Linked DNA regions of Lytechinus pictus. The protein of the gene in region 2 interacts with the protein of the main gene of each other region in a pairwise test. Links are inferred from orthologs where the notes say so. Each region holds a gene or a part of one and is shown on either strand. Other genes may lie near its edges. The genes, in order: U3 small nucleolar ribonucleoprotein protein IMP4-like and U3 small nucleolar ribonucleoprotein protein MPP10-like.

The links.
Region 1: the proteins of U3 small nucleolar ribonucleoprotein protein MPP10-like (region 2) and U3 small nucleolar ribonucleoprotein protein IMP4-like interact in a two-hybrid assay, tested with the Drosophila melanogaster proteins (2 studies listed by BioGRID). The link is inferred for Lytechinus pictus from reciprocal best matches to the Drosophila melanogaster genes CG13097 and CG11920.

Annotation. Positions count from the first base shown.
Region 1 is NC_087247.1:40,745,389-40,755,906, reverse strand, and holds the start of U3 small nucleolar ribonucleoprotein protein IMP4-like, read right to left. Parts: upstream 4,601-10,518; 5' UTR 4,375-4,600; coding exon 4,372-4,374; intron 1,193-4,371; coding exon 1,084-1,192; intron 758-1,083; coding exon 674-757; intron 1-673. Other genes in the region: pre-mRNA-splicing factor ISY1 homolog, read left to right, coding at 4,732-4,734.
Region 2 is NC_087249.1:26,503,759-26,513,543, forward strand, and holds the start of U3 small nucleolar ribonucleoprotein protein MPP10-like, read left to right. Parts: upstream 1-4,737; 5' UTR 4,738-4,794; coding exon 4,795-4,874; intron 4,875-9,785.

The DNA.
Region 1 (10,518 bases), on a different chromosome or scaffold from region 2:
AGAGCATTAGTTATTTATTGATGCAACTTATTTCATCATAATGGAGACACATCATTTACACATTTCTGAAAAAATGAAACAATTATGATTTCATGTAATAACATAAGAAAAAAGAAAGTGGGGATGTGACATCATCAGCCCACCTAATGAATATTTATGATGACATGCATAAAACTGTTTTCACAAAATATTGCTTAACTTTAAAATTCAATAACTTCGTTATTTGTTATCTGATTTTTATGAAATTTTCAGAATTTTGCTCTGTGAATTTTACTCTATTTAATTAGATATAAATATCTTCAGTCCGGACCAACCCTTTAAGAACCTACTGCACTATTCGTATAAGAGTAGAGGGAAACCCTAGAAAAGTGGTCCACCACCACTCTGCCCACATCAGTTATATCGAGAGGAGAGACCGGCGGGTCATAGTGATTTAATTTGCTTTTTGCTTCCCAAGAACAGGTGACGCCAAAACAAACAATAATAATCATAATGTCATGTTACTTGACTGTTCGGTACAATCCATACATTGCCACATACGTTATCTTACTTTCCCTGGCTTGAGAATGCCCTAAGCATTTAAGTCTGGAGTCAACTAATTAAAACACACTTACTCTGCATCCCATGAATTCCCATCACTGTGTTATTTCATGTTAAATACTGTATAAATTACCTTCTCCTCCATCATCATCAAACGCCAAGGCCTTTTGAAGGGCTAGTGCATCTTTCTGTAACTCTGTTGGAATCTTCTTGTTTTCTGGATGAATTAAAAAAATAAAATGGATTAAATTATCAAATTAAGTTTTCAAGCTGAATAATTATAAATGAGACACTGAGTAAATCACCTTAATTATTTAAAGCCCTAAAAATAAATATTCAAGTAAACATGAATTTCATACATATCGTAACTGGTATACCATTATATATTAATCTGCAGGAAAATAAATTGGTATATTTTAATGAGGATTTTCCCACTTATTTACCTAGATAAGAAAACAATTTACTTATTCACAAATTCTAGTGAGTGTGAATACATTGGAAAACTCAGATTTATCAAATAAAAACAAGTTTCCGTAAACCTACCATCGAGAGCATCTTTCAACTTTCTTTTTCTCTCCCTGATGATACGTTCTTGCTCCTCCTGAGATTTTCGGTATAAATACTCCCTTCTCTGACGAGCTTGCCTCCGTAACTGTCATAATGTAAAGAGCAAATGAAAATCAATATTTCTCACTTATTTGAAATGCACACAATATGCATGGGTGTCTGTGTGTCAAGACTAGTAGTAACTGAGAAACTTTGGAAATAAGAAATCAGCAAAGTCAAACCTGGTAAGGGGAGGGGGGGGGGGTCATGACCTCTTAATTTTTGCATCTACGGTGGTGAACCTTCTGGAGACTTTGCTAGGCAGAGAAGTTTTTTACATCATCACACATTATGATTCCCTTTCTCCATAGATGTTCGGATAGTACTGTACAGTGTGCCAGCTCTGTGGGGAAGTTACAAATTGATGCAGATGTTCGTGCCCTGGTCAGGTCTTTTGTTTTTTGGGTGACGGTTGTAAGTAACTACATCTGATTAATACACACCTGTAAAAACTCAATCACACACACACGACTGTGCAAGAGGCAAAATCATGGACAAACCTTAGGATTCTATTTAGATCTAACTTAATCGCTACAGTCATGTCTCATGACTGTGGCCAAATTGCTGGTTTGATGAAAAAAGCTTTTTAATAAAATCAAGCCTTCAAAAATCAAGGCAAGACAGCTTGAACAAAATATGGCACTAATGCAGTTTCGCACTGGCCGACCTGGCAACGTTAGGAAACTAATTTCACTTCAAATTTTGTCCGAATTTTTTGCCAAATATCTATCTAATCAATCCTTGACCTGAATTTCAGCCACATATATTCAGGCATCAGGAACGGCTGTATTTCAGCTTTGATCTTTAAGTTATAGTTCGAATTCTCTGTCAGACAGCGGTGCTTGGCTATAGCCGTAGTTTTGATATTGACTGAAATTAGCAACCTCACTCTTGCGAACGCACGGGCGAGCTGCCCCGGGCAGATCTTTGAATTGGTAACTTCAGTCGATTTCAAACTACAGCGATATTGGCTGATCGAGCGACGTCTGACCGATAATTCGAAGGACGACATCGAGATCAAACTCAAAGTTTCCTGGTTGAAGCTTGAAGTGGCTGAAATTTGGGCTAATGATCGATTGGATAGATATTTGACAAAAATTGGAGAGCCCCAAAATTGAGGTGAAAAATAGTTTTCTAACCTCACCAGATCGGCTGGCGCGAAAATGCATTATTAGCACCCAAAATACATTACAAGTCAGTCTTGCAGCAGAATTAGAATGACAAAGTCAAAGTCTCCAAAATGGTTTATCTGTGGTACAGAGTTTTGGAGAGATGAAAAAGGCCGGAACAACTGCAGAATACCCCGCCGACGAAAGCATGGATGACTGAAGTGACCAACGACCTATGTTGGAACAATATTGGCCTACGATGCCAACAATGCGAGATTGTACATGATCCCAAAGAGTCTATATCACACTGTTCTCTCTACCATCCTAAAAGTAGTTTACTGGAAAAACTAGTTTAACGTGTAACGAGAACGGTCGAAGCGGCCTTGGAAGCGATCTTCCAAACCGGATCAGAAACCACCTCGCGATGTAGTTTTGAAGATCGCTTTGCCTCGTTTAACTGGTTTTAGCATTAAGTTATGTGTCATAAGAGAGTCTTGCATGTAAACTTTAACCTTGACCTGAAAATGACCTTTGGGTTTTGACCTTACCATGTGACCTCCAACTGCAGCATAACATGCAGGTCCCCTCAGTGCATCTACCATCTAAGTTGGGTTGAAAAGTGACTTACGGTTGCAGAGTTGTGTTTTAAGTCTTGCATGTAAACTTTAACATCGACCTGAAAATGACCTTTGGCCTTACCATGTGACCTCTGACTGCAGCATAACATGCAGGTCCCTTAAGTGCATCTACCATCCAAGTTTGGTTGACAAGTGACTTATGGATGCGGAGTTGTGTCATAATGTTTGTGACAGACGGACTACATTTGGATCCCTACATGTAAGTCTCACCCTCACCTCTGGTGGGCGAGACAAAAATTAAGAATATTTCGGCCCCGAAAAAATTTGACAAGCAAAAAAAAAAGGTCTTCACTTTCACTTCACTTTTTAACATTACATATTTTCTTTCTTTTTTTTTGCTTCTCAAAGGGGGAAGGGGGGCACGGGCCAGGTTTGCCCCCCCTGGATCCGCCAGTGAATTCAGAATTCAAATTTGACAAAAAAAAGGTCTTTAACACAAAATTGGAGGTCGTTTCGTACCTATTTTTTTATTTTTAGAGGGGGAGGATGAGGGGTTGTTTAAAAAAAATAAAGGTTACACTGTAACTTACAGGTTGAACCACCTGTATGTAACCCCCCCCCCCCCCATCCCTGCGTATGCTACTGCGCGATTAAGCAACAAATGGTGATTGGAGCTTATCGAAGCGGCAGAAAAAATTGCCCGGCATCTAACGCGGGACAGAAAGCTTCTGTTTTTTTAATTATACATTATCTTGATATTTCTTTATAAAATTAAATTCAAAGCAGGCAAAGGAAAGTTTTTTTCTAATTTCTTTTTTTTTATCATATTCATTCCTTCCTCATTATATATAACATGTGAAAAAGATAAATAACATAAAATCATTTAGGACCTACATTATTGAACTTGTTGGAATCAGAATTTATAATTAAAAAATTGTAAATTGATTATTCTAAATGTAAACCATCTGTAATATTTTTGATAATTCATAATCACAAACTGGGAAAAATAATAGATTCTAACATTTGTAACAAGTTAGACTAAAATTTTCTACCCGACTACCTGTTCTACTTCTACTATTCTAGTTCTACTTCTACTAGTTCTACTTCTAACTTGTTAGAAGTAGAAATCTATCGTGTCTATAAAATACAAGCATACTAATACTAGTATTATTACTAAATAATCAAATCTATTGACAAATAATGAAATATGATTCTGTTCACTTTTAGTATCATTAAATCAAAATAATTTGAGGAAGTTATGCAATTAAAAAAAACCCACCAAGATAAGAAAACACAGTCATGCTTTCGCGATCAAGTCGGGCACTCGGCACGGAGCGGGTGCGGACGATTTTCGACGCCGACAGAAGCCGCAGAAAGTTAGACAGTGTCGCGCCTGGCAGAGCCATAGTCTAGTCTCTAGTCTAGAGCCCGAGGTTGATTTGAAGTAAATTGAGTTCGAATTAGAGCAAACAAGTTTTGCACTTGAAATGCAAATATAATCAAATCTTAAATTGCTACAATAATATACAATTTTTTACCATTTTTAACACTGAAGAAAATTAAAACAGCTCAAAAGATGCTGCGGTGTTTGATTGCGGAATAGCAGTTTTCACACATGTGCTGCACATTGGTATCTTATTATGTTTGAAACTTGTTTATTCGTCAATCTTTCGCAAGGTCCGAAGATTTGACCAATCATATCAATTGTACCTTTTCGCGCAGAAAAGGGCTCTGAGATATAGATATCGGTAGATATACGCGTCGGTAATTGAGTGTGGTATGGGTACTATTATTACCGACGACGACGTTTGATTTTGACTCCGTCTCTGAGCATCGACACAGCTTTCAATTCATGCAGTTAAACTTTTGGGTCGAAACAGAAGAGTAAAGACACAAAAATGGTACGCATACTTTTTCATATAATTTTTGTGATTCATCATAATTATGATTCGTTTATATGATTTTAAATGCACTTTTGTTCTGCTATACTATAGATCTACAGACTACAGTCCCATACATTGCGAAATATGTACGGTACTGTGTAAGTTAGATCTCTTGTCTGATCTTGCACTTGCAGTTGCACAGTCAGTCCGCAGCACTTCCGAAAGTGCTCTATTTTATTCAGCGGTACCGGTATGCATAGCCGTCCGTGGTTATGCATAAGCAATGAGCTGTGAAGACGAACTTTCCGATCAGTGTTTTTTGCTCTTAGAATCGTTTATTCCTCACAAAATTGGTCTTATTTTATAGATAAGGCTTTGCCTTTGAAATTCCTGATCAGTTAAATAAAATGCACATTTAACATATTTTGTAGACCAATATTTAGCTTAGAATAAAGGATTTTTTCAAGAAATATATGTGAATAAACGGAGCGTATTTTTGCATAGAAATCACACTTGCGTCAAATTGATATTATAATCAATATAAAGCGTAGACATTCTTCTTTATGACTGAAAAAGAATTATGAAATTTCATGATGTAGCAAAGTCAGGACAGGAACCACAAAAATTCACGGCAATGTCCATCGCAAAATGATTGGAATTGCAGTAGAATTGCCAACGCATTCTGAATCTGATTGGTCAACAGCGGCGCACAGACTTACAACATTTCATATAGCATTAAAAACCCGGAAGAAGTACGAAAGCGATCTATGGCGACTTGCGTAAGCACAATGTTTTGACGTGTGCAGGGACCCTGGATCGAACCCGACGGAATGTGTTTTTTTTTCCGGGGGAGGGGGGGGGGGGGTGGTGGGGATATATTTTAGCTTTTTCTTTAAATCATATTCCTTTCCCGTTCCTACCCAGCTTTATTCTCTTTTTACTTTCATCATTCATGTGAATTTCTATTTAGGCCTGTATTATTAAATCATGGAGCTATTAATAACTCTGATTCACTTTTGATTTTCAAGTTCTTGTTTACACTTATTTGGGCAGGGATGGGAAGGGAAGTGAGTTAAAGGTCAAGTGCGTCGTGTATTTGAGTTTTGTCAGACGTGTATCAATCAGATATGATTATTTACGTCTGGGACCGACCTTTAACGTCACCATCCGAAAGACGTGACCAGGGCTCGAACCTCGAACCTCTGCATCAATTTGTAACTTCCCCACATAGCTTGGATTACAGGCGCACGCCACAACGCCCAGTCAAGGTCAAGGTCAAGTGCACATCAACAAAAAATTATTTGAATAAATAGAGAAATTTCCCTTTTTCAACACAAAACAGTTATATACACAAAACAATGGTATGCAAATAGAGTTGATTATGTCACTCACATCACATTACTTTCTAAATTTTGGTTGCATTTTATTATATCAATTTTAGCAAATTTGATATAAAAACTCTTCATCGAATCACAATAGGTTACATTGGACATAATTGGACACATGTTCACTTTCCTTTCATCCAGGCCACTCCCTCACATCCACCAGGTTTACAGTCTTATAACATAAATGATGAATTAATTATAATACCATCACACCATAGCTCCATGATCACACAGTGCTTCACAACAAATATTTCACTTCTGTTCATACATGCAATAATTACTGTGGAAAACAAAAAGAAAGCGTAACCATATTCGAATACCGTTTAAAAGGACAAATATACCTTTCGAGAAAAAAAAATTGTGAACATACATAACACATTAGATAACCAAGGCTCCACATTAACTTTTTTTGGTGGTGGCCCGTTCGGGCCACCAAAACCATCAAATAATTTTTTTTGGTGGCCCGATATTGAAGTTTGGTGGCCCGAAAAATATAAAGAAAAACATTAAAAATGAATAAAACAAACTTCTGAAATATTAATTCTGCAGCCACTACCACGGCACTAAGTTACTTTCACTTTATACATCATGTATGTAAACCTTGTTTCCTGTTATTTTACTTTGCTAATTGATAATTGTTTCTATCGTTGTAAAATGAAATGATTGAAAGTGAATAAATGAATTGTATTGTTCGCTGGTTGTGTGGACTTTTTTTAAAATCTCTGTATAGAGATAATGGTAAAGTAAAAAAATAGTGCATAGCAAACTCAGATAGATGTAAAAAACAATGGTTTTTCCTTCCTTCCTCTTTGAATCCTAAAACCTAGATTATGCATGCCCCAAATCCAGTTTATTTCTGTTTTCTCTTTTGCAGCATATTATAGAAGGAGAAAATCACAGAAAATATGCTGCAAAATTAGAACAATGCATAAAAGGGGGAAACAAACGAAAATAATTTTCAAAAAGTATATTACAAAAAGAAAACAAAAATAATAAAAGAAATTAGTGATATAAAACAAAAGAAAGAAAATGAAGAAAGTAAAAAACAAAGAACAGGGGAAAAAAGAAAAGAAAAAAATTAGAGAAAAAAAGGAAAGAAAATGAAAGAAAAATGGATAAAACAAAGTTAATATAAAAAAGGGGAAAATTATGAAGCCATTACATATATTTTTTAACAGCTGTGGCAACAGTCTATTCTTACTGGAATATAATTAAAAGCCAAGCAAATAATTTTCACTTACCTTTTGGGAATGGCACATTTCTATTTCTATATCCTTTAGTTTGTATTATTTTATTTTCAGTAGAAACATATTTTTTTATCAGGCATATTCAATGGGAAGGGGTATAAATGGTTTTAACCACTGTAAAAAAAAAATGAAAGAAAAAAAAAAAGAAAACTGCAAAAATTATATCTGGAAAAAAGTGTGAGAAAAGTCCTTCCCTATATTTGCCAAAATGTTGGAAAAAAAATCACATTTCATATCAATGAAATGCCTTCCCAAAGTATTTACTTTCTCAAGAGTGGTTTAAGAAGTCATTTATAAACAAGAAAGAAAGAAACTGTCTGTTTGTTTTTGGCTAGAAAATACACAGCTTCGAAAGAAACCAAGTATCAACATACATACAAATGCACACGTGGGACTGTGATGTACTTGCCTATGTGTTTTTATGTGTATTAATTCATGTTGAAATCGGTCTTTTTGAGTCAAAAGAGAGGTCATAATTCCTCTTCTTAATACTTGCAAATAATCAGGGTACACCAGATTTTCGTAATATAGACTGTAGAATTGCATTTCATTGATGTAAAATGTGACTTTGACTTAGATTTTCAAAGTTCTGTGGAAGATTTCTCAGCAGCAACATTTTTTATCGCAGCTCCCTGAGTCTGAATAGGCTGAGCTAGATCTAGAGCACAGCTGTATGCAGTGGCTTCATGCAAAGCTCACGCCAGCCGGCCGGCGCGGCTGGCTGGATAATAGCTACTGTATGCTATAGCTGTAGGCCTAATATGCAAACTTTGTGTGTGTGTATTTGTGTGTAGATCAACAAAAAGGGCGCATGACGAACTGGCTTGCAATTTGAGCTGTAGAAAGTTGATAAATGCATGCAAAATTGGGAGAAAAATTGCGCTACTTTGAAAATTATTGGTTGCCCGATTCGCCGGATTCGGGTCACCAAAACTTAACATTTTATCAATAATGGTTGCCCGAGGTGAATTTTTGGTGCCCCCGGGCCACCGGGCCACCGCTAATGTCGAGCCTTGAGATAACATTTAACAGAGTTGCTTGAGAACAAAATATAATTATGGGGCATTGCAAGAAACTTATGTTCAGTTGCAAATCAACTACATGTTTGTGTTTAATCAAAGGACTTACCCTTGATTTTAGAATGTGTGAATGAGTAAAAAGTTTCTTGCAATGGACTATTAGTAACATTAAAAATGTTCTTTGGTTTTAAATTGTGTATTCTTATTTTTGTCAAGCTGTATTCCTGTCCAAGTCAGTATTCTTAGCCCTCCCCAAAACTGTGCTCTAATTTGTTTGTTTCCAATATCGATAAAGATCAATTTTCTGTTGTATTATTATCAGTTCAAAATTTGCAAATGAAAAAATGGCTTTGTCCAAATCAGTCTGACCGTTATAGTACATGATGGAATCTCCCAGAATAAAGTAGCGAGCAGAGACCAGAGTCAGCAAGTGTGCAGATCTGTGTGTAGAAGAGACCAAAAAAAAGAGAGAAATAGTTTAAATTACTAAATAATCATTCAAAGTACATGTATGAATTATTTTACATGTAAGTCAAGAGACTAATAATAGTACTGTCTGCGACAGCCACAATTTTTTTATTTGAACAAAATGGTTTATAAATACTACTGAGTACGGTAGTACCAGCCTTTTAGTTTGACTTTAAACTTTAGTGTTTATAATCTATAGAATAGACTGTCTAAGCTAATCATCATTTCATTCTTAACCGCAGCCTGGGGCAAAAATCATCATGGGACTCAACTTCGAATAATTAAGAAAAAAGGTTAACATTTTTTTTCAACATAAATCAAGAAATATCTCAATCTATACAAACTTGATGGAATTCGGAAACCTGATAATCATTAAATAAAACTTTAGAAGAGATCTACCGTACTTATTGAGCTTGGTTTATATTAAGTCTTAATTACAAAAAAAAAAAAAAGGTCCACCGTCATATAAATAATGCGAGCCATCTGTCATCATTACAGAAGTTTCAACGTATGGGACCAAAGGCGAAATCCTACCAACCCGCGACAAACGTAATTTTTGCATTATTTTGCGCCATCGTAGAGTGAACGAGAAGGTTACTTCCGGGTAAAACGTAAATTTCTTGATTTTTAGGGTATCATTTTTTCTAAAATAAAAATAGAAGGTGAGTTTGCGTCAAATTGGTTCTGACATATTTTGAACGGTGACTGTTCTTCTTTATAAAAAACCCCGATCGAAACAATTTGGTTATGTAGCAAAGTCAGGAACCAAAAGTGAAATTCCGACTACAAAATCGCAGTTAAAATATTACTAAAATAAGCATCAATTAAAGAGGTAAAAATGGTAGGTTGAAAATGTCTAAATATGAAAAATTATATATCAAAATGTAGATGAAGGCCTTGAGAATAACTTACCACAATTCGTTTCAATGTAAACTGAAGTTAGCGACCAGTACAGAGCTATAACTTCAGCCCCTCCAATTCACTGGGAAAATCAAGCCAAATTGATCGCACGTTTTCCTTCGGAGACCGCTAGAGGGCTGCTGAATAAATCTTTGTGAATATGCTCATTATCGCACAAGCTGCGGTCTGACTGCAGTTGCACTCAACAACAGGCCTAACTTACAGTGCTCAAGGGTTCATTATACGCCGCCTCGCACAGAAAAATCAAGCCATAAGATCTAGACAGATAGAAGTTGTGTGTTGTGGACGCCAGAAGTGGTGTCGCAGCATATATTACTAGACAGTAGTCTTGAGGACTCCATGACAATGATGATTTTTTAAATAAATATTTTGACATATATTTCTTCATCATGGAGTCTTGAACCCCCGTCCATATATGTATAAGAGACACATGTACACAAAGATGGATTTCCCCAGGAAATCCATAGTTAGAGGGTGAAATCGGTTTTCTAGGGTCGAATTTGATTTATCTATGAACCTTTAGGCGCCTAATGCGTGTAAAGGGATACAAATTATTTTACTATAGATGGTAAAAATGAGACGTTTCTTACCAGACCCGATCTCCCGTAGATCCCTCGATCCGTTTGTCAACAAAGCAAAGACAATAGACCTGACCCTTGAACCGCTTCGTGATGACGTACATCCGACTAGCGATGCCGTTTTGAAGAACAATTTATAGAAAAAAATTATTATTTCATAAATACTAGAATTCAATACGTGATT
Region 2 (9,785 bases):
CATGTATCTCACCAACAAATTAATGCGAGCGCGAAGCGCGAGCTGAAATTTGTTGGTATACTGACCTTAAAACAGGAAAAGCGTACCTGTTTAGGACTGTTTGTAAAGTAACTCATGAGGAGGATACATATCTCACTACACAGATAATGCGAGTGCCGAGAGCGAGCTTTAATTTCTTTATATTCTGACCTGAAAGCTTGATATTCTAAGCATTTTTGGTACCAATGATTAAGATTGGTATCTAAAAGAACAAATCTCTCTCTCTAAAAGCTCGCATATTTCGATCTAAAAAAAATGACAGATTAATGGACTTTTTTTTATAAAGAACAAGATATATATCCAACAAAATATTATTGCAAATCGAAGCGGGAGTTATTTTGAGGGTTAGAACTGAAAACGGGACATTCTATTCACCTATTTAATCATGAAAAGTATGGGTTTTTGCTACAGAAATGATGCGAGCGCGAAGCGCGAGCTGAAAATTTTTGTATTCCAATCTGAAAAGCGGACATTTTGAGCATGATTTGCAATAGAGAACGAGTTGTGTATCTCAATCTCGCTTGCTGAACATTACACCCTTTTTTTTTTTTTTGCACAACTGGAATTATTGGGGGGGGGGGGGCAAAACGATATGTTTGCCCCCCCCAATATTTTCATTGGTGGGGCGATCGCCCCCCCAGGATCGACGCCTCTGGTAAGGAGGGCTAATCCGGTGAAAAAACAAGATATTTGATCAGATTACTTGAACCTGAATTGATGTTTTCTGAACAATTTCATTTGCAACAAGGAGGCAGCTTTCTTTGGTAATGCTATAAATATTAAGTATTTATTTGCTCATTCCTATAGCTTTTAATTTCCTCTGAATAGTAAATTTAACATTTTCCTGCTTGCTGTAATGATACCAGGGCATGCTGTAACAATTTTTTTTAATCTATCGCAAATTTAGGACCATGATGTTGATTGGATTATGGCCATAATAACGATTGATCATTGTTACTTTTAAGTCAAAATTTCATGTTATAGCTCCAAATTTGCAGTTATCAGAAAACCACTTTCATATCATAAAATGTTGTTCTCATGAATTCTGTTCATGTCTATACCCACTGCAAGCATTATTTTTTCTATCTTTTGTCTGTTACGGTCTTGTTTTGGTTATTATGATGATAATAATTAATACATGACTTGGGTCATGTATGCTTAAAAGAGTGATGATGAATTGATTACTAGTAGATTTTTAGTATCAAGGTTAAAGGTGCACACAGGTCATTATGCCTCTTAAGCTCTCTCTCGTTCTTCCAAGAACTAAAGAACCATCTGGGGTATCCACTTCATTAATAGGCTCATATTTGCACATTCGTGTGACAATGATCTGGTTAAGTTTTGTGGAAAGATGATATTGACTGTGCACGCAAATGTTCGCAATCAGTTATTATTTTCATCAAAGGACAATAACTTGTGTTTCATGATGTTTGTACATATAATGGACATATGCATACTCTTGAATAATGATAGACTTGTATTCCTATTGGATTTTGATTGTGCAATAAAGATTTCACCCTTTATCTTACATGAACAATGTTTTAGAACTCTTCTTTCTTTTTTTTACCTATTCTAAGTATTTTTATTTTTTTACAGCATGAAATAAATGCTAATAATGTTTTCCCAAATGGAGGGGGAAGGGAAGATCAGTGGTGGAAACACTACTATTGATTCTGCCACTGATTCAATATATCCAGAAGCTATATGAATATTTTCATTGGGAGGAGCAGTACTAAATGCTCAAATATTTGACCACCATAACATAAATCAACATCTGCAAGAATCTTAAGAAGGGAAGGAGGCAGTTTATAGAGAAGAAGATGAAGAGGGGGGGGGGGGGGGCGGGAAATGAATGAAACGTATATGATCAGTAAGGAAAAGATAAGATGCATAGTAAGGATGATGGTGATGATAATGCTTTACTCTTATTTGGGTGTTCAGAAATGTGCCGCTCTAATTTGCATGACTTTTTTTAAAGAAAAAAACCTGAACAGGGGGTGTGGTTTTGTAAGATTAAATGTGAAAGTAGATATTTCTTTCCTAGATTAAGTATGCCAAAAGAGTAATTTTTCCAATGAGAACTGATTATGATCATTACAAAGAGGATCTCCATTAATATGATGCAGGTAATAATGTTGCCGTGCATATCACTGTTTTGTGCAGTAGGCCTATGCCTAACCTCAAATGGTCATGAATTTCTAATCTCATATTGGATTACAAAAAGTAAACAATTTTTGTGAGTTGATGTGATTTTCCGAAGTTAGTTGTATTTGGTTGCCCTAGGAACGCCCTCCCAGCTATGATAACAACCAAATCTAATAACAATGGTACAAATCATGATACACAATTGCAATTGCATGGTGCATTGGTAACACATGGATATTCATGAGACATAGTAAATATGAAGATAACTGTATAAGAGCGACAAAATACACAATTTAAGAAAAATACAGTCATTCCTCTGAGAGAGAGATACAAGGAAAAGAGATATATGTGTGTGTTTGTGAGAAAAAAAAAGCGTCATACTGCATAAGAATTAGACAAAAGGAAGGAAAAAAGTCGAGTGGAGGGGGGGGGGCGGGGGGTGCCTACATTATATGCCCTCAAATTCAGTTTTAAATACACAGCTATAGGGTACCCGGTGACACGTTTTCCTTCTGTTGTGTTCTCTTCTCTTCCCCCCCCCCCCCCCATTTGATGGTACGTTTTCAAGCCCCCATCTGTATGCAAGGGGCCGATTGCACGAAAGGGTCTTTGCAAGGACCATCTTTCGTGTCGCCCATTTTTTATGATGCGCCATGTGAAACGCATTTCAAATAAATTATCTGCAAACATATTGGGTGATTTCAAGTACGGTGTTCGGAGTTGGTGTTGGTGTTGAGAGCGTGAAAAGGCTGCTGAACCGAGCTCCAACACCGAGCTGAGTTCAGAGGAGCGATACCGATCGCGTTATCGATAACCTATGACGTCACGCTTCTGTGTTGCGCTGCTGATCATCTCAACTTTACGCAAGAAATTCTCGACGACGATAGTGAAATCGGGAATAAACTGCAATAAAATCTTATCGTACAGAATGCAAAGGTTAAAATCACTGCAATAATCAGAAAGCATAAATATTATCTTTCACTTAAATGTGTAAAACTCTAATGATTTTCGCTCATCTTATCTGTAAAAGATAATTTTACGGAGATGTTTCATCGTGTTCGCTGCCTGTTCGTGAGCTACAGTTCATCAACACCAACACCAACACCGAACTTAAAATCACGATTTTCCCAATCCCTGGGGGTTGGTGTTGGTGAATGGGGAAATTGCACGTAGATCGTCAACACCAGCCGCAGTGCTTGGTTCAGCAGACGACATTCAACACCAGCCTTCAACACGAACTGCCGGAAATACGTCATATTTTCCGAGGTCAATCCCCGGGGGGGCCACTTCCATTGACGAGTGGATACCATGCGCGACCACGGGGTCTTGAAAAGCACCCTAAACACGTATTTTCCATATTCTGAAAATGCACCCCTTAACAAGTATTGGCGTGTGAAACCTTACCCTTAACAAGTATTGGAAACAAATACTATTGGCAGGTATTCCCAGAAAAGAACCCCTAAACAAGTACAGAGATATTTTACTGTTATGTCACGCGTCCGTCGGTTTTACCTTTAGACACAGTATTTTGGTTTAGTACGGCCCCACCTTCCACACCTCGTGCAAATCGGACTCTAAACACGTAGTGTTGGGGCAAAAAGGACATCCTTTATAAAACATTTTGTTTTTGTTTGATCATCCCCGCATATAGTTTTACCCTAAACACGTATATTTTTCCGAGCGAAATAGATACCCTTTTTTCAATATTTTTGTGTTTTTGACACCCTTATCACGTTACGTACGTATTTGCCCTATCTTGAAAAAGACATCCTTTTTACGTGTTTTTTTGGTCGCGCATGGTATCCACTCGTCAATGTAAGTGGCCCCCCCGGGGGTCAATCCCAACACCAGCCTGATTTCAAGTACGGTGTTGTGGCTGGTGTTGGTGTTGTCACAACACCAACACCAGATTTCAACACCGTACTTGAAATCACCGATTGTATTCGTCAGTTAAAATAAACAAAATATTTATTTATTAAATGATGTGATATCTCATGAAATTGTATAAAATTTGATTTAAAAGCAAGCTTACGAATTTTATTTGTTTATCATAAATTTCAGAAACACACCGCTTATAGCGCATCATAAAAGACGGGCGACACGAAAGACGGTCCTTGGAAAGACCCTTTCGTGCAATCGGCCCCAGGGCTTTAGGGGGTGAGAAAATCACTGTTTACCAAAATTGCTGTTCAAAAAGCTGGGGATGAGATGCTGTATAGACTGAAGTTTAAGTACCTTTTTTTTTTACAAACAAAATAATAAGGTGTATCTCATGAGACCTTGATAATGCAAGCGCGAAGCCCGAGCTTAAAATTTTGCACGTCATGGCTTTTACCTAAATTTTTTTAAATATCTGAACCATATAACTTTTTTAATATTCATTATAATCTATAATTTTCCTTGGATTTTATCCCGATTTCCTTGAATATTCTTAAATATCTTTTGATTTTGTTTTCATTTTCTTTGTAATTCCTTGATTTTTCAAAATTCGTTGAAAAATTCCTTCTTTCGTCAAAAATTCCTTAAAATTCCACAAAACAAGGAAAATTCCTTGAATGTGGAATTAGCGTTTAGCTTTCCATACATCTAAAGCAACGCTACTGCAACAGCATGGCGTCAAAAGATGGTCATTTAAATGGTGCTTTACACAAGTTCGAAAAATCTACGAAGAATCCAGAAAGATATATTAGGTTTGTATAGTGATTTTGTAGTGATATTTATAGTTTCATTTAATTTGAATTCCTTATTGTGCTTTAATTTGCAGCTTATCTTTACGATATTTTGTGTTCAGTCCCACCCATGTAGTTTTGAGTTTGTTGAGAAGATTTTAGCTAACTCAACCAGGCCAGGTACACGAACGGGGAAAAATCAAATTAGATTTGTCTTCCTATTGTGTTTATTGAATTGTTTGTCTATTTTGTGTGTGTGTGTGTTATTGAGTTTTACAGACATCAATTTGCCATAATAATCACTTTGATTTTGGCTTTTGGGCAGCCAACGCACGCCCGGAATTCGGAAAGAGAAACCACTCTGGGGCTACACCGCTATTCCAACGCGTGTTGGAAAAGTCGACGCCAGACGGGTACGTTTTGGCCTTGAATTTCCAGCAAATTAATCAAAATTACGGCCTAAATTTAGGTCTATGTTATCAATTATATACTAATTTCATAATTATAATGTAAAACGGGTACTCACGGGTTCTTTTCTTTCCAAATTTTGTGTTTTCATCGCCTCTTCTGGCCAACTCTTGCGATGGATTTTGTCGCCATAGGATCCTGTACGTGCAAATCCAGGGCGAGTTGTCACATGACGCTCGCGAGTCTCTAGGGGTAATGGCCTTTAATCAAGGCGTTCTTTTTGCTATAATTTTATAATGACGCTTAAATATCGAAATCAATGTAGACGAGTCTGTGCAGGGGCATAACAGGGGTATATAAGAGGGGGCATAGTACATGTCGCATGTGGAAGATAAAAGTTACGTAATGTAAGTCCCGAGCACTAGCGTACCTAGGGGGGGGGGCAGTCTGCCCCCCCCCCCCCCCCGATGAGTCACAAACCCATGCAAATTACATATCTCTGCCCCCCGGCCCCCCTGACGAGCTTGAAAACCTATTTTGCCCCCCCCCCCCGACGAGCTTGAATACCTATTTTGCCCCCCCCCTGGCGAGCTTGAAGACTTTTTTTTTTGCTTGTCAAATTTTTTCTGGTACGATTGAAGACCTTTTTCATTGAAGAGCCTTTTTTTCCTTTTTTTTTGCTTGTCAAATTTTTTGGCGGCCGATTTTGCCCCCCTGTGGAAAATCCTAGGTACGCCATGCACTGCCCGCGCTACATGTATGTTGGTAGCCCTGGGACCTCTGGATATTAACTAATCCAATTTAATTACAGATGGCAGATTTTTTTATTATCTGAGTAGCCCCCCCCCCCCCGGATTATTTGTTCTCACATTACTTTCCTTTTTAAATTTCCTTTCGTTCTTTCTTTCATTTTTCTTTCTTTCTTCCTTCCGTTGCTCCTATGTTTTTTTTTCAGGTGAAATCCACTCGGGGGATGGCCAGCCATGCCCCCATCTGTTTATGCCTCTGAGATGTAGGCTATACTCATGATCTTAATCTTCGATTTTCCAAAGTAGGGGGGTGCAATTTCTCAAGTAAAATTTGACAACCCCCCCAAAAAGGTTATCACAGAAAAATTGTCATTTTGTCTCGCGTAAGATTTGACAAGTAAAAAGAAAAGATGGTTACTAAAAATAAAAGACTCATTTTGTCCGTGTAATATTTGGCAAGCCTCCCCCCCCCCCCCCAAGTTTAACATATCGGAGGCGCGATGGCTCAGTCGGTAGAGCAGGGGTTTCGGATTCCGGTGACCCGGGTTCGATTCCCAAGTGGTGCGCTAGTGCCCTTAAGGCTTATCCTCATTACCAGGTCCCTCGGAGAGGACCTTAAGCCGTTGGTCCCCTGGTTGCTTGCTCACAGGCATTCGTGCTTTTTTAGCAGTCAGGTAAAAAATCTCGATATAACATAACATTTAAAAAAAGTGAAGGTCATTTTGTCCTGCGTGAAATTTTAAAAGTAATAAAAAGATGGTCACTAAAATTGAAGTTCATTTTGTTTGTGAAATATTTGGCAAGCCCCCCTCCCAAAAAAAGGTTTTAACTAAAAATGATTGAAGGCCATTTTGTTCCTCTTAAAATTTGTCAAGTATAAAAAAAAAAATCACTAAAAAATGAAGGTCATTTGTCCCACGTAAAATTTGACAAGCCCCCCCCCCCTAAAAAAAAATGAAAGGTAGCTGATAATGATTGAAGATCATTTTTTCTTGCATAACATTTTACAAAAAAAAGTGTGTCACTATTTGGCGAGCCCCCTACCCTCCAAAAAAAAGGTTTAATTAATAATGATCGAAGGTCATTTTGTCTCTCGTAAAATTTGACAAATAAAAAAAAAGTTGTCACTAAAAAAAGAAGGTCATCTTGTCGCGCGTTATATTTGGCAAGCCCCCACCCCCCTAAAAAAGTTTGTCATTAAATATAGAAAGTCATATGTTCAAAGTAAAATAAATTTGGGAAGCAAAAAAGAAAAGGACAAAAAAGAGCAAAGAATATGAACAAAATATCCCCATTACAAATATTGCTGTGATTCTCATAAGGAGGTGGGGGGGGGGGGGGGACTTAACTTTGTACGAACGACATTTTTTTTTTACATCCAAAATATTGACTATGAATCTCAAAAGGTGGAACGGGCCAGAAATGCTCAACCCCCCCCCCCCCCCGATCTGCCATTGATTCCAATCGATAATGACTTTTCCCTGCAATACTGATGCTTGAAATCAAGATACTGAAGATTGATATATTGTAATATAAATTATGAACGTCTGACAAAAAGATAACCAACCGATCACCTGACCGATCAGCTGACCAGTACGTGAATCACATCGTAGTTGATCAGTCCCCACAGCGTTTGGAACGCTCACCAAGAATTCAAGAAAAAAGACTGAAAATGTAAGTTTAACCTCAATCCATTAAATTTCAAATGTCGTAGAAGTTTCCTAAATTGTTACCATCCACTATGTATTAAGGCGTACATTTGCCAAAGTTCTTGGGTGCAAATAGAAACGGCAATGTCTAACCGGTTTTATCACTGATGTCGCCTATGAGGTCCATACATGTAATGTTTGGACCTCATTGGTACTAGGAGTGAGAGAAACTAAATTCAAGTTAACATGGAAAACTAATTTCACAAGCCAGCGCTGCACCACTGACACTAATACGAGGTTAGTATATATACTAACCTCGTACAAGGGACCGTGTTTGACCCTGGATTTCGAAGTAGTTGGCAAACATCGCTTCATTGCTGAAGTAATATTTGCCGAAACTCCTTCTCGCTAGACGCTACGCACCGGGGCTCTTTCCGGTAAGTAGCAATAGGCCTAGGCCCTACATAAAAAATTGATTTGTAAATAATTTCATTACAAAAAGAGCAAATTTCGCTTACCTCGGCCAGCAAGTGACTTCGTTTGTCTACGGAAATACAAGGAAGCCCGTTGGTGGCGCTAATAAATTTCACAACCTTAGGCTTGATTCAGCTCCTCGGTAATTTTATAACTGTGTCTAAATTCTTTGAATGCGCAATTCTTATGATTAATTTACTAATTATGGGCACCAATAAATGAAATACCTTCAAAAACATAATTCAAGATTACTATTGGCGATGATAACACTTTTTTGCAATTAATTTAAAACGATGACTAATAAAAAAAAAATTGAAAAAAATACACATGCCTGGAACGAAACCAGCAGTACAAGCTTTAACGAAATTCAATAATACGGTATACCAAAGTCTATACAATGAAAAGATTGGACACTTCACAGACTTTGCGTAATGCCTTGCGTCGATTTGCGTGTAAAATAGTGTAGGTGCCTAGTCTTTCCCTTGTCGTGTCTTTGACATGAATATAAATCGTGTGCCCTCTTTAGGCAAAAATTGATATCCACGCTGACCAATTTTTGTCTCCGTGAAATCTTCACTAATGATCAAGAAAATATACATATTTTTAAAAAGAAACTTCAAGGAGAAGTCACGGAAGAATCTAAATGATTCGGTAAGTGTCATAGCAGAATGTGAAATACCAGATTATGCGTGATATTTTATGTGGGCAAAAGCCCAGTATATTTTGGATGTGTCGTGTGTGTCGCGTGCATATGACCGATATTCCTTCGCCCGCGAGACGATATGAACCCATGGGTGGCGCTGCACTGCAGTTGTCAATCACCACAACACACAGCAAACACATAACTTATATACACAGGCACTATCACTTACCACATGGTAACCCCGATTTCAACTCCAAAATCCCTAGGGCCTAGGCTTAGTATAGTAAGGCCTTACTTAGATAAAGTAAAATTTTGCCCTTAAAATGCGAAATATTCACCATAAATTTCAGAGCACGCGGCAGCCTTAGGCTTAGCTCCTTAGCTCAGCTTTAAGAAGCGGGGTAGTCGAAACATGCGCTTAAAAAGTTAAAATGAACAAATCTGTGGTTTTGTTCCCAGTTCGCAAACTTAAGATCGTATCTTCAAAATGGCACATCAAAAAGAAAAATCTGAAAAACTCTACTGCATTGAATTTGCACAGAAAGCAAGTCAACGGCATGCTAAAGGCAGGCTTTCATTCTACATGGGGCCAGGGTCCGAGCGTAATACGGGAGCAAATGACGGCTGCAACTTCCAGGTTGCATGCGGTGTGCAATTCAGTGGCGTTTGCACGCATTGACTTTTGAAGGCGCGTTGTGCCGAACAAAAGGCAGGGGCTGTTGAACTGTGGTCACAATATACGGTGATGCATTTCAAGATTTTATGAAAATTTGAGATAGAAGTTAAAAATAAACATTGCAATTAAAAATAAACAAATATATTTAACAAACATTGATTCAAATTTCATTTTGTGAAAAAACATTTTAGAACAAAAAATATTACAGAAAATCTTAACATGTAAAATTTCGGGCAGGCTGCTCTAACGCCAATATGGCCAATGGTTAATGTAGGCACTTACTGCAATTTCAGGAACTGAGAGTGCTAAAAATAGATTCTGTAACCTCAATTC